Linked DNA regions of Nothobranchius furzeri. Each later gene encodes a partner of the first gene's protein in a complex. Links are inferred from orthologs where the notes say so. Each region holds a gene or a part of one and is shown on either strand. Other genes may lie near its edges.

What was found.
Region 2: the proteins of qtrt2 (region 1) and qtrt1 are in contact, whole or in part, in a crystal structure (PDB 7OVS), measured with the Mus musculus proteins. The link is inferred for Nothobranchius furzeri from reciprocal best matches to the Homo sapiens genes QTRT2 and QTRT1. Residues at the interface, in NP_001343258.1 of Mus musculus: Arg39, Thr40, Gly41, Ser42, Ala43, Pro44, His45, Leu46, Thr47, His48, Gln49, Thr50, Asn53, Glu70, His71, Glu73, Val74, Glu77, Tyr78, Phe85, Ile86, Gly87, Phe119, Gln342, Glu343, Phe345, Tyr355, Asn359, His360, Ala363; in NP_068688.2 of Mus musculus: Thr50, Thr53, Met54, Lys55, Gly56, Ile57, Thr58, Thr59, Glu60, Gln61, Ser64, Arg80, Pro81, Leu85, Lys88, Ala89, Phe95, Met96, Asn97, Ala307, Lys308, Phe310, Pro320, Thr324, His325, Ala328, Phe329, Ala332, Leu333, His335.

The regions. Positions count from the first base shown.
Region 1 is NC_091747.1:50,803,739-50,808,286, forward strand, and holds the start of qtrt2 (queuine tRNA-ribosyltransferase accessory subunit 2), read right to left. Parts: upstream 2,839-4,548; coding exon 2,621-2,838; intron 2,457-2,620; coding exon 2,401-2,456; intron 285-2,400; coding exon 208-284; intron 81-207; coding exon 1-80. Other genes in the region: ccdc191 (coiled-coil domain-containing protein 191), read left to right, coding at 3,548-3,598, 4,408-4,449. UniProt on the Homo sapiens protein: Non-catalytic subunit of the queuine tRNA-ribosyltransferase (TGT) that catalyzes the base-exchange of a guanine (G) residue with queuine (Q) at position 34 (anticodon wobble position) in tRNAs with GU(N) anticodons (tRNA-Asp, -Asn, -His and -Tyr), resulting in the hypermodified nucleoside queuosine (7-(((4,5-cis-dihydroxy-2-cyclopenten-1-yl)amino)methyl)-7-deazaguanosine).
Region 2 is NC_091745.1:2,106,118-2,110,478, reverse strand, and holds the start of qtrt1 (queuine tRNA-ribosyltransferase catalytic subunit 1), read left to right. Parts: upstream 1-1,339; 5' UTR 1,340-1,357; coding exon 1,358-1,645; intron 1,646-1,726; coding exon 1,727-1,795; intron 1,796-1,902; coding exon 1,903-2,041; intron 2,042-2,121; coding exon 2,122-2,316; intron 2,317-3,577; coding exon 3,578-3,716; intron 3,717-3,806; coding exon 3,807-3,882; intron 3,883-4,361. Other genes in the region: dnm2a (dynamin-2), read right to left, coding at 717-877.

The DNA.
Region 1 (4,548 bases):
GGTTGCACCACCTTTTGGAGAGCCATGAACTTGGCCACCGACATGTCGATCCGCCCACCGCTGCCCCACACAGACACCGTCTAATGACACAAATATAAATTTAATTAATTTTATTTTTGCTGTCCTCTGTGATGTGGTCCAAGCTTTAGCTCAAACACCCAAGAGATGTCAATGATGCACAGAGCAGAGCGTGAAACCTCGTCTCACCTTATTAGTGGTGTAGCCCGTCGGGCACGGAGCTGCGGGGTCGTGAAGCGAGCAGAACAACGCTGTATCACGAAGCCCTGAGAATTAAAATTCACACCTTGAGAACAACGCCTGTACCAAATGAGCACCAAGAACGCTACCAGAGCTGAATGCCTATTTCTGCATGCTACAGAGAGGATACATGAACTTTATCAGCAAACCCAGCTGCAGCTGAAAGATCAGAAGGTGAGAAAACAAAGAGCCTAATTATTATTTCCAGCCCTTAAATCACTGCTCTTCCTTTCTGGTGCTTTAGAGACAACACTTTGGTAATCCATTACAAAATTAATCAACATTTATTGCATTTACAATTTGAAATTTCACTGCAAAACCCTGAGTAGAGCTTAGTACTACATGTAAAAGCAAAGCTAAATCGGGGACTTGGGAGCAGAAACACTTTTGTTTTAGTTTAAAAAGCAGATTAGATTCCTATAATAGATTCAAATGCGTTTTATTTAGAAGTGCTGTAAGAAGTTTATTCATTTGATCCTGATAGACCCATATTTTGAACAAATCATATAAATCTACACATTATTGATTCATTACCATAAGTCACAAATTATGGACCTTATAATAAGAATAAGTGAAAAGATGTGTTCCTGCTGTTTTTGGTTTAAGATGCCTTAAAACAAATGTTAAAACAGTTTAGATACAACATATTAATATATTATCCCGGACTTGTGTAATTGGTTAATAAGTAGAGTGTAATGTTTTAGTGATGTTAATAGTTTATAGGTGATTATGTTGTGTAAATGTTAGATCTCCTGTATGTTTGCAGTCATTTGTTGATGTTTTGAACCTCCTGGCCAGGACACTCCCATTACAGTTTTTTTTACAGACGTTAGGGCCCATTTCTCATTACTAATGTCACTTTTGCTAGACACTTCACACAGTTCTAACTAAGTTTCAGCTTGGCAAAACAGTTCATTTCACATTCAAAATGCACTACAACCACCAAAACACTTCATGCAGGTCTCAAATAAACACATTCCTCCAGAACACTAGCAAAGGTTGACAGCCGACAAACCCACTTTGTCACCCACAAAACAAAGACCTAAAACAACACTAACAACGTGTAGCATTACATTTTCTTGTGTAAAACAAGGACACATCTCTGTTCATACTTCCAATAGATGTTACTGGAATGAATCAGACATGATGCAGAATTAGTCAATATTTCATGTTGTTCATTTATTTTTAATGGTATTTGTTTTTGCACTAAGTACTTCCAAAACACAAGACTTTGTTAACACAACATCCTCTGATACAGATTCAATATGCTAATCTACTCGGTCTTCTCCATTTGGCCACAGGTTCTCATCCACATCACATCTTATGTCATCTAGGGCAATACACCTAGGAAAGAATCTTCTGGCATGCCTGATCCATCCCTGGCAATCTACTGCTGGTATGTCCAGGCATCCAGCGTACATTGCATCCAGAAGGGACATTTGATCATGTGGATGATGGTCGTACACCTTCCACCGCCATGAGGCAAAGAATTCCTCTAAGGGGTTGAGGAATGGAGAGTAAGGTGGGAGGAAAAGTGACTCCATTCTGGGATGGGCCACAAACCACTCTGTGACTGCATGGGAGTGGTGAAATGCCACATTGTCCCATACAATTATATATGTTGGCTGATTCCGTCTGCCCACATCCCTTTCATCCTAGCACAACCCTTCCAGCTGTGGCTGGTTAAACTGCATTTATGTTTCAATAACATATTGCTGTTGGATTTTGCTGTCATATTCAGTTTTGCAGTATGTTATTGTTTTGAACATAAGTTTTACAGTTTTGTGAACAGTATGTAAGCAAGTGCAAAATGTCCTGTTAGTACAATGAGTTTTGGCAGTTGTGTCTGAGTGAGAAAGGACTTCATGACATTTGAGAGATGTAGTCACTCAATGCATTTTGTGCCAAAGCAATGATAATTGATCCTCAGTTTGGCCCACATAGACTTCTGTTGTGCACACTGGATGTAGAGTTTTGCAAATGTGACCTAAGTATTGAGAAATGGGTCCTAATGTCTGTAAAAAAAAAACTGTAATTTGATCATTTAAAAGATCCAATAGACTTTTCTGGTGTTTTTATTGATCACATGCAGACTGATACTTCTTACTAGGGAAAAGTGATGAGAAATGTGCACAACTGTACCTGCAAACTTCTTCAGTCCATCTTTAAACTCTTCCAGCACATCTTGGTGCTCTGCTCTGGAGAGATGTAGATTAGAAATAAGATTGAGCTATGTGTGTGTGTGTGTGTGTGTGTGTGTGTGTGTGTGTGTGTGTGTGTGTGTGTGTGTGTGTGTGTGTGTGTGTGTGTGTGTGTGTGTGTGTGTGTGTGTGTGTGTGTGTGTGTGTGTGTGTGGACTTACACATGTGACAGAGCGACCTGGGTGACAAAAGGGAGGGAGCTGATGGTGTGAAGCGTGTCCTGGGTGAGATGGGGGACTGTGCCAAAGTGGGTGTACAGCAAGCAGCACGGAACATCCAGCGAGTGCTGCCCCGTGCTCCCGAGACCCTTCAGTACACCCAACCGAGCTGTCCCATGAACCACCCGAGATAGCTCCAGCTGCATCCTGCTGCCAGCCATAACAACTCCAGGAAAATTTCCAAAACAAACAACTATATCCGAGCTGCCAGAAGTTACAAGCGATCTAGCCACCTAGCTGTTTAGCTTAGTGTCACTTTTGCCAAACTAGTTTTTTTATTGACACTGAGTCGTTAGAAGGAAATTCGCGTTTGTTGTTTAGCGTTTTTATTTTATATTTGCTTAATTCAGGAGCACATTTATCGGGCTTACCGTTAAAAACGCATGTCTTGGGAGAAACTACAAGTCGCGGACATATGACGTAATGGAGGGCGCCAACCCGCCAACATATTTTTCAAAGGGAAGATTATCCCGTCTGCTTTTATTTTCCAAATAAATCAACCTTCTAGTTTATTTCATAGAAGTTCGTGTAACAAATACCTGAAAGGTATTATCTTACCGACATTTGTATGGTGTTTTATGTGTTTTCTCAAGTTTCAGAGGCAAACACTGTTGCCACGGTTACCGAAGACACTCTTGAGTCTACTGGGATATGTAGCTCAAAGGGTCAGAATTTATGGGAGGTTAGGCAGTTGTTTTCAATCATTACCCACATTTCTTCACTTTGAAGCACGAAGGTAGCAAGCCTTTCAGCTCAAGTTTTGCTCTGTAGTATCAAAAACAGTGAATTATTTTTTCGCGTATGTAGTCTGGAAATTAAGTAAGATTTAGGCTCACTTTGTGCCATTCAGAGGCTTTTATTGTGGTGATAATGGCATCCTCAGGTCAGCCGTTCAGGTTGAAAGGGCTCCTGTCCGACAAGGTAAGCCTAAAACACTGTGTGTGTGTGTGTGTGTGTGTGTGTGTGTGTGTGTGTGTGTGTGTGTGTGTGTGTGTGTGTGTGCGCGCGCGCGCGCGCGTGCGTGCGTGGGGGCATTTGGCTAGTCCACACAATGACAAAATACCCTTAAACATGGTTTTAGAGCTATGGTGAGAATTAACTTTTAGTCTAGATTAGGATTAGGAATAAAACAGCATTGGTAGGGTATGGATTAGGCATAGTGGAGTCCCAAAAATGAACTGATGTCAATGGAGGGTCCACACATGGATACAGAGACAAGTATGCATATGTGTGTCTGTGTTTTTATTTTCTAAATATATGCAAAGATAAAGTTTCAGTACCTTTTGCCACCATTACCGGATTCCCTAAAAAGAAGCAATACAACTGAAAATAAAATCTAATAGTATTTATAAATGAAAGAGATGCACAGGGTGAAACTTCAGAATACATGGGCTTGTGGTTTTTGCAACAGAAAGATAGAAAAATGTAGATTTTTGTCAGAAATTCTCCACATTGCATTGCTGCTGGTAAATGACCTCCTTTAAGATGTCTGGGCAATGATTTGGGGGTTTAATCTGAGGATTTAAGGCAATACCTATACGCTTCCTGTGAAATAAACTGCATACATCATCTCTCATGCCTCGATTTTCACACTCCCTCTGCAACTCAAGGTAAGCTTCTGAGGATTTTCAAAAAAGCTAAAGTGACCACTAGACCTGTGCTTATGCTCAGGCCTTTTGCCTTTCTTTAAGACAAACTATTCACTTAATTTTCTCTTTTTTTCCAAATAGGTATCTGTGAAGAAGAATAATGACACTGATCAGTGGAGAAAGGTGTGAGAACATTTTCATTATTTGAAATTAGTAATTCATTAGTGCAAATTCCTTTAATTTGGGGATTCATATTTTTGTTAATTTTTGCTTTCAACTCTT
Region 2 (4,361 bases), on another chromosome or scaffold:
GGGGAGCAGGTACACCAGCTGACTTCACCATTTAAACAAAGAAGAGTACAAATACAATCCATTTCCCTAAACTCTAAGCTTTAACCAAAACTGGCCCGAATGGGGAACACAGTATAGGAAGTAGTGTCTGTTGCAGATGTGTGACAAAACAAGTTCACTGTGATGGCGTAACTTTCTGCGCTCAATGTTGAAAGTCACACTATAATAATAAATTAAAACACGCATAAACCCTCTGAGAATAAAGAAACCAACATCTAATGAACGCCTGTATTTATCCATAAAGCTGACACTTCCAAACCTCAAAGGAAAAAATATTCAAAAACGATCAACAATAGGATAAGGTTGAACTCCAGCAGTCAGCTATGAAAACAAACAAAACAGGAAATGCGAATGTTGTTTTCCGGTAGTTTGAGTGTCTATTGTATTTGTAAACTGAAAAGAATACAAATACCTGGACCAATTGCAAAATATTACCAATTCAATCCAATCTGTAGGTGTGGAAAAGTAAAGTTCTTATAATTATTCCCCTTTTTACTGTGCAAGATGACTTACGAAAAGTGCGTAAATGACACGTACGGTTCAAGCACTTGACGTTAGAACTTAGTTTTATGACAAATATCATATTTAAGTATTCATAACGTGTTCAAATACTACTTATGACTTCACATAAATTGTAAAACAACCAATAACTAATCTTGTGAATTTTTATCCCTTACCTGCCAACAAAGTTTTCCAATACAGAGCTTTTTCCAGCGCTCTGTCCTCCGACTACGGCAATTTGTGGAAGATCTAAATTGCAACTCTGCCCAATTGAGCTGAAAGCATCTTGAAGCTTGTTGATCAGGGGAATCAGTTCTTCCATGCCCCGGTTCCCCATGGCTTCGTTTAGCTCGGAGAGCCCTTCAGTTAAACGAAAACCGGAGGCTAATGTTAGCTTAGCAGCGATGTGCTCTCTGGTTGCTCGTAAGTGTTGAGTTCAGCCGATTCAAGCAGCTCAAATATTTAATTCGACTTTGAAATCCTGAGCTCCTATAAATCACTGCCAGTTCAGAGCAACATAGTGTCGTATTCCTAAGTTAACTAAAACCCCAGCGAGTCGAAACGAACGAAAAACTCGCAAAACAAAACTTCCTCAACACAAACGCCATCCGGTCCGGTGAGACGACATCCGATCGAAACCGGTAATTGTAGACCCGCCTCTTCTGTCTCTGTCAGAATCTAAGTCGCTTATTTGCTAATTCTGTTGTCACGTCACTAAATTATATTCTGATTGGATAACAATGTGAAAGGCGTGTTTGTCACGCTGCGTTACGATTCCAATTGGTCGATCAGACTGTCAGTTGCTGCCCATTGAAACATGGCCGCCGCCACGGTACGTGGAGTAGATAGAAACACATCAGAAAGCCTCATGTCTTTGAAGAAAGCTGTAACTGCAGCTTCGCCTCTTGCTTTGAGAATTGTTGCTGAGTGTCCAGTGACTAAAGCAAGAGCTTGTGATTTAGCACTGCCACACTGGACAGTCAGCACGCCGGTTTTTATGCCCGTCGGCACTCAGGGAACACTGAAGGGCATCACTGCTGACCAGCTGGAGAGCCTTGGATGTCAAATTTGTCTCGGAAACACATACCACCTTGGGATGAGGCCGGTGGGTAACTTGTGACGTATTCAGTAGGGTTTAAAACATGGCCAGATCACTTAATAGCTATGTTGCTTCCACTTTCTAAAGGGACCTGATTTGATAGAGAGAGCTAACGGTTTACATGGGTTCATGAACTGGAAGAGAAATCTCTTAACTGTAAGTATAATAATACAGATTTCCTGAAAACCAGAAGTTACGTGGTGCTGTATTCTCAGAGTAATAGACAGTCAAAGTGTAAAGGATACCCTCTCTCTCTCCTAAAGGACAGTGGAGGGTTTCAGATGGTGTCTCTTGTGGAACTTTCAGAGGTCACAGAGGAAGGGGTCAAATTTAAATCCCCCTATGATGGCAAAGAAATCTTGTTAAGTCCTGAGAAATCCATCAGCATACAAAACAGTTTGGGTGAGCAAACAGTGAATCATGTTGATTTAGTAATATGTTTTATGTGTTCTTCAAAGGCAACATTTCTCATCCTCTTTCAGGGTCTGACATCATGATGCAGCTGGATGATGTTGTCAGCAGTACAGTGAAGGGACCACGGGTCGAGGAAGCCATGCATAGATCCATTCGCTGGCTGGATCGCTGCATAGCAGCCAATAAACATCCTGATAGACAGAACCTTTTTGCCATCATTCAGGGGGGACTGGATGCACAGCTGCGCAAGGCCTGCCTGAATGGTAATAGGAGGAAAAAAACTATATCCTTCCTCTGGTTTTACTCTTTTCTTCTGTCTCAGCATTGACAAGCACGTAACATAAGAAGATGAAGTGTGGACGTCAAACCAGTTAAAGGGGCATTATGGAAGTTTGACAGCCAAAACATGTATAGAAATAATTAATGTCTTCTTCATACGTTCTCCTGCAACGCCCTGGTCCTGTAGAATGAGCCCTGGCATTTTTACTGTGATTGCCTGTTTTTTCTGTAAAATCACAGAAAAAGAGAGCTGCTCGGGTCGAGCAGGCTGCTTCATGCGCGTTCACGCTCAGGCATCGCCCGTAGCATTTGCTATCCGTAGCTTTAGCAGCAGAGAGAGAGGTAGTGCCAACTCAGCGACTTTGTCTCTGTTCCTAACGCCTAGTGATGCAAATTAGCAACAAAATAGCCATTTTCGCTCCGAACCGTTCTTTGAGCGTTGTTTTAGCTGTAATCAAGGATATAAATGTTACAGATACCGAAGACGTCAGTGGCGGTTAAGCTCATCTAGTTAGACGTCGGACTCTAGCGCAAGAGACCCAGGTTCGATTCTGGGTGAGAAAATAGATTTTTTAGAGTTTCTTTTTTTTACATTAATGGTATATTTTTTTACAGTAAGACACCCAAATTTTTATTTGAGACTCGTCGAACGGCATTGAATTCACAGATAAAAAAATGTGGGTTCAACTTTCATCTTGGAACAATTTTTCAAGCAAGGGAAGGGAATGATCTGAGCATGCAGGAGGACTGACCCATCATCAACCTTTGTCGGCTGTGCTGAAAAGAAAGATACAGAACCAAATTATTTAATTAATTAGCTGCCTGTTCTCCTGCCCTCTTTCCTCCGGGCCACCCACACACACACACACGGGACTGTCTCAGCTGTTATTTTCGTTAAGGAGTGTGCACGTACAGCATGCGCGCCTCGTGCACGAGCCTACTATTGAAGCTGCCGTTACACTTTTGGCCTGAGGGGGCAATCGCGAGCATAACAATTCAAAACTCCATAAAGTCCCTTTAAATAAATGTTCATTTGCCTCTAAAATCCAGCTGTTGGAAATCAACATGTTGCAGGATAATTGGTGCAGAAAAAAAGACAAGTGGATGAATCTAAAGACTTTAATGCCTTGGCTGTGCTGTTCAAAACGATAACGCACAAATGTGTAACTGGACTTTTGCAAGATCAAAAACTCATGATCATAATTTAGTATTGCGTGTGTTGATATGTCGATATTTTTAATGCAGAAATGACTCAGCGTGATGTTCCTGGTTTTGCCATTGGAGGCTTGAGTGGAGGAGAAGAGAAGGATGACTTCTGGCGGATGGTCACACTGAGCACTGACTACCTGCCAAGAGAAAAGCCTCGTTACTTGATGGGTGTTGGGTATGTTTGCAGAAAAATGCCTTTTGCAAACGGGTTTTGTTTGCTATAATGACATTAATCAGAAGCATGTCTTTTCTTTCCATACTGCAGGTATGCTGTGGATTTAGTAGTGTGTGTTGCTTTGGGATGTGATATGTTTGACTGCGTCTTCCCAACCCGCACGGCGGTAAGTTCTTCATACATTTCATATTTGTTGTTTGGAATTTTTTTTATTGAAGGAGTTCTTTAACAACACACACAAACCCATGAACTCACCGAGCTGCAGAGTTTCTGTGGTCACCTTCAGATAACTCCACATGTGACGAGCACCACCTCAGACCTCAACATTCAGATTCAGGCCCCGTAAGCCCATGTTCCACTCCTCCTCTGCAGTTGGAGATCAGCGAGGCTAGCGTCGCTGCAGGTCTCTGGCTCTGGCTGCAGCGAGGTAGCGGAACCGGGAAGCCTGGCTGCTCAGTGGGACTGTCGCCAATATGGCCACAAGTTTCCCAGTCCTACCAACACATTATATTTTGCCCCATCATAGTCCAGACCTTAACCCCATTGTGAATCTTTGGGATGTGCTGGAGGAGGCTTTGTACAGCGGTCAGACTCTACCATCATCAAAGCAAGGTCTTGGTGACACGTCAGTGCAACACTGATGTC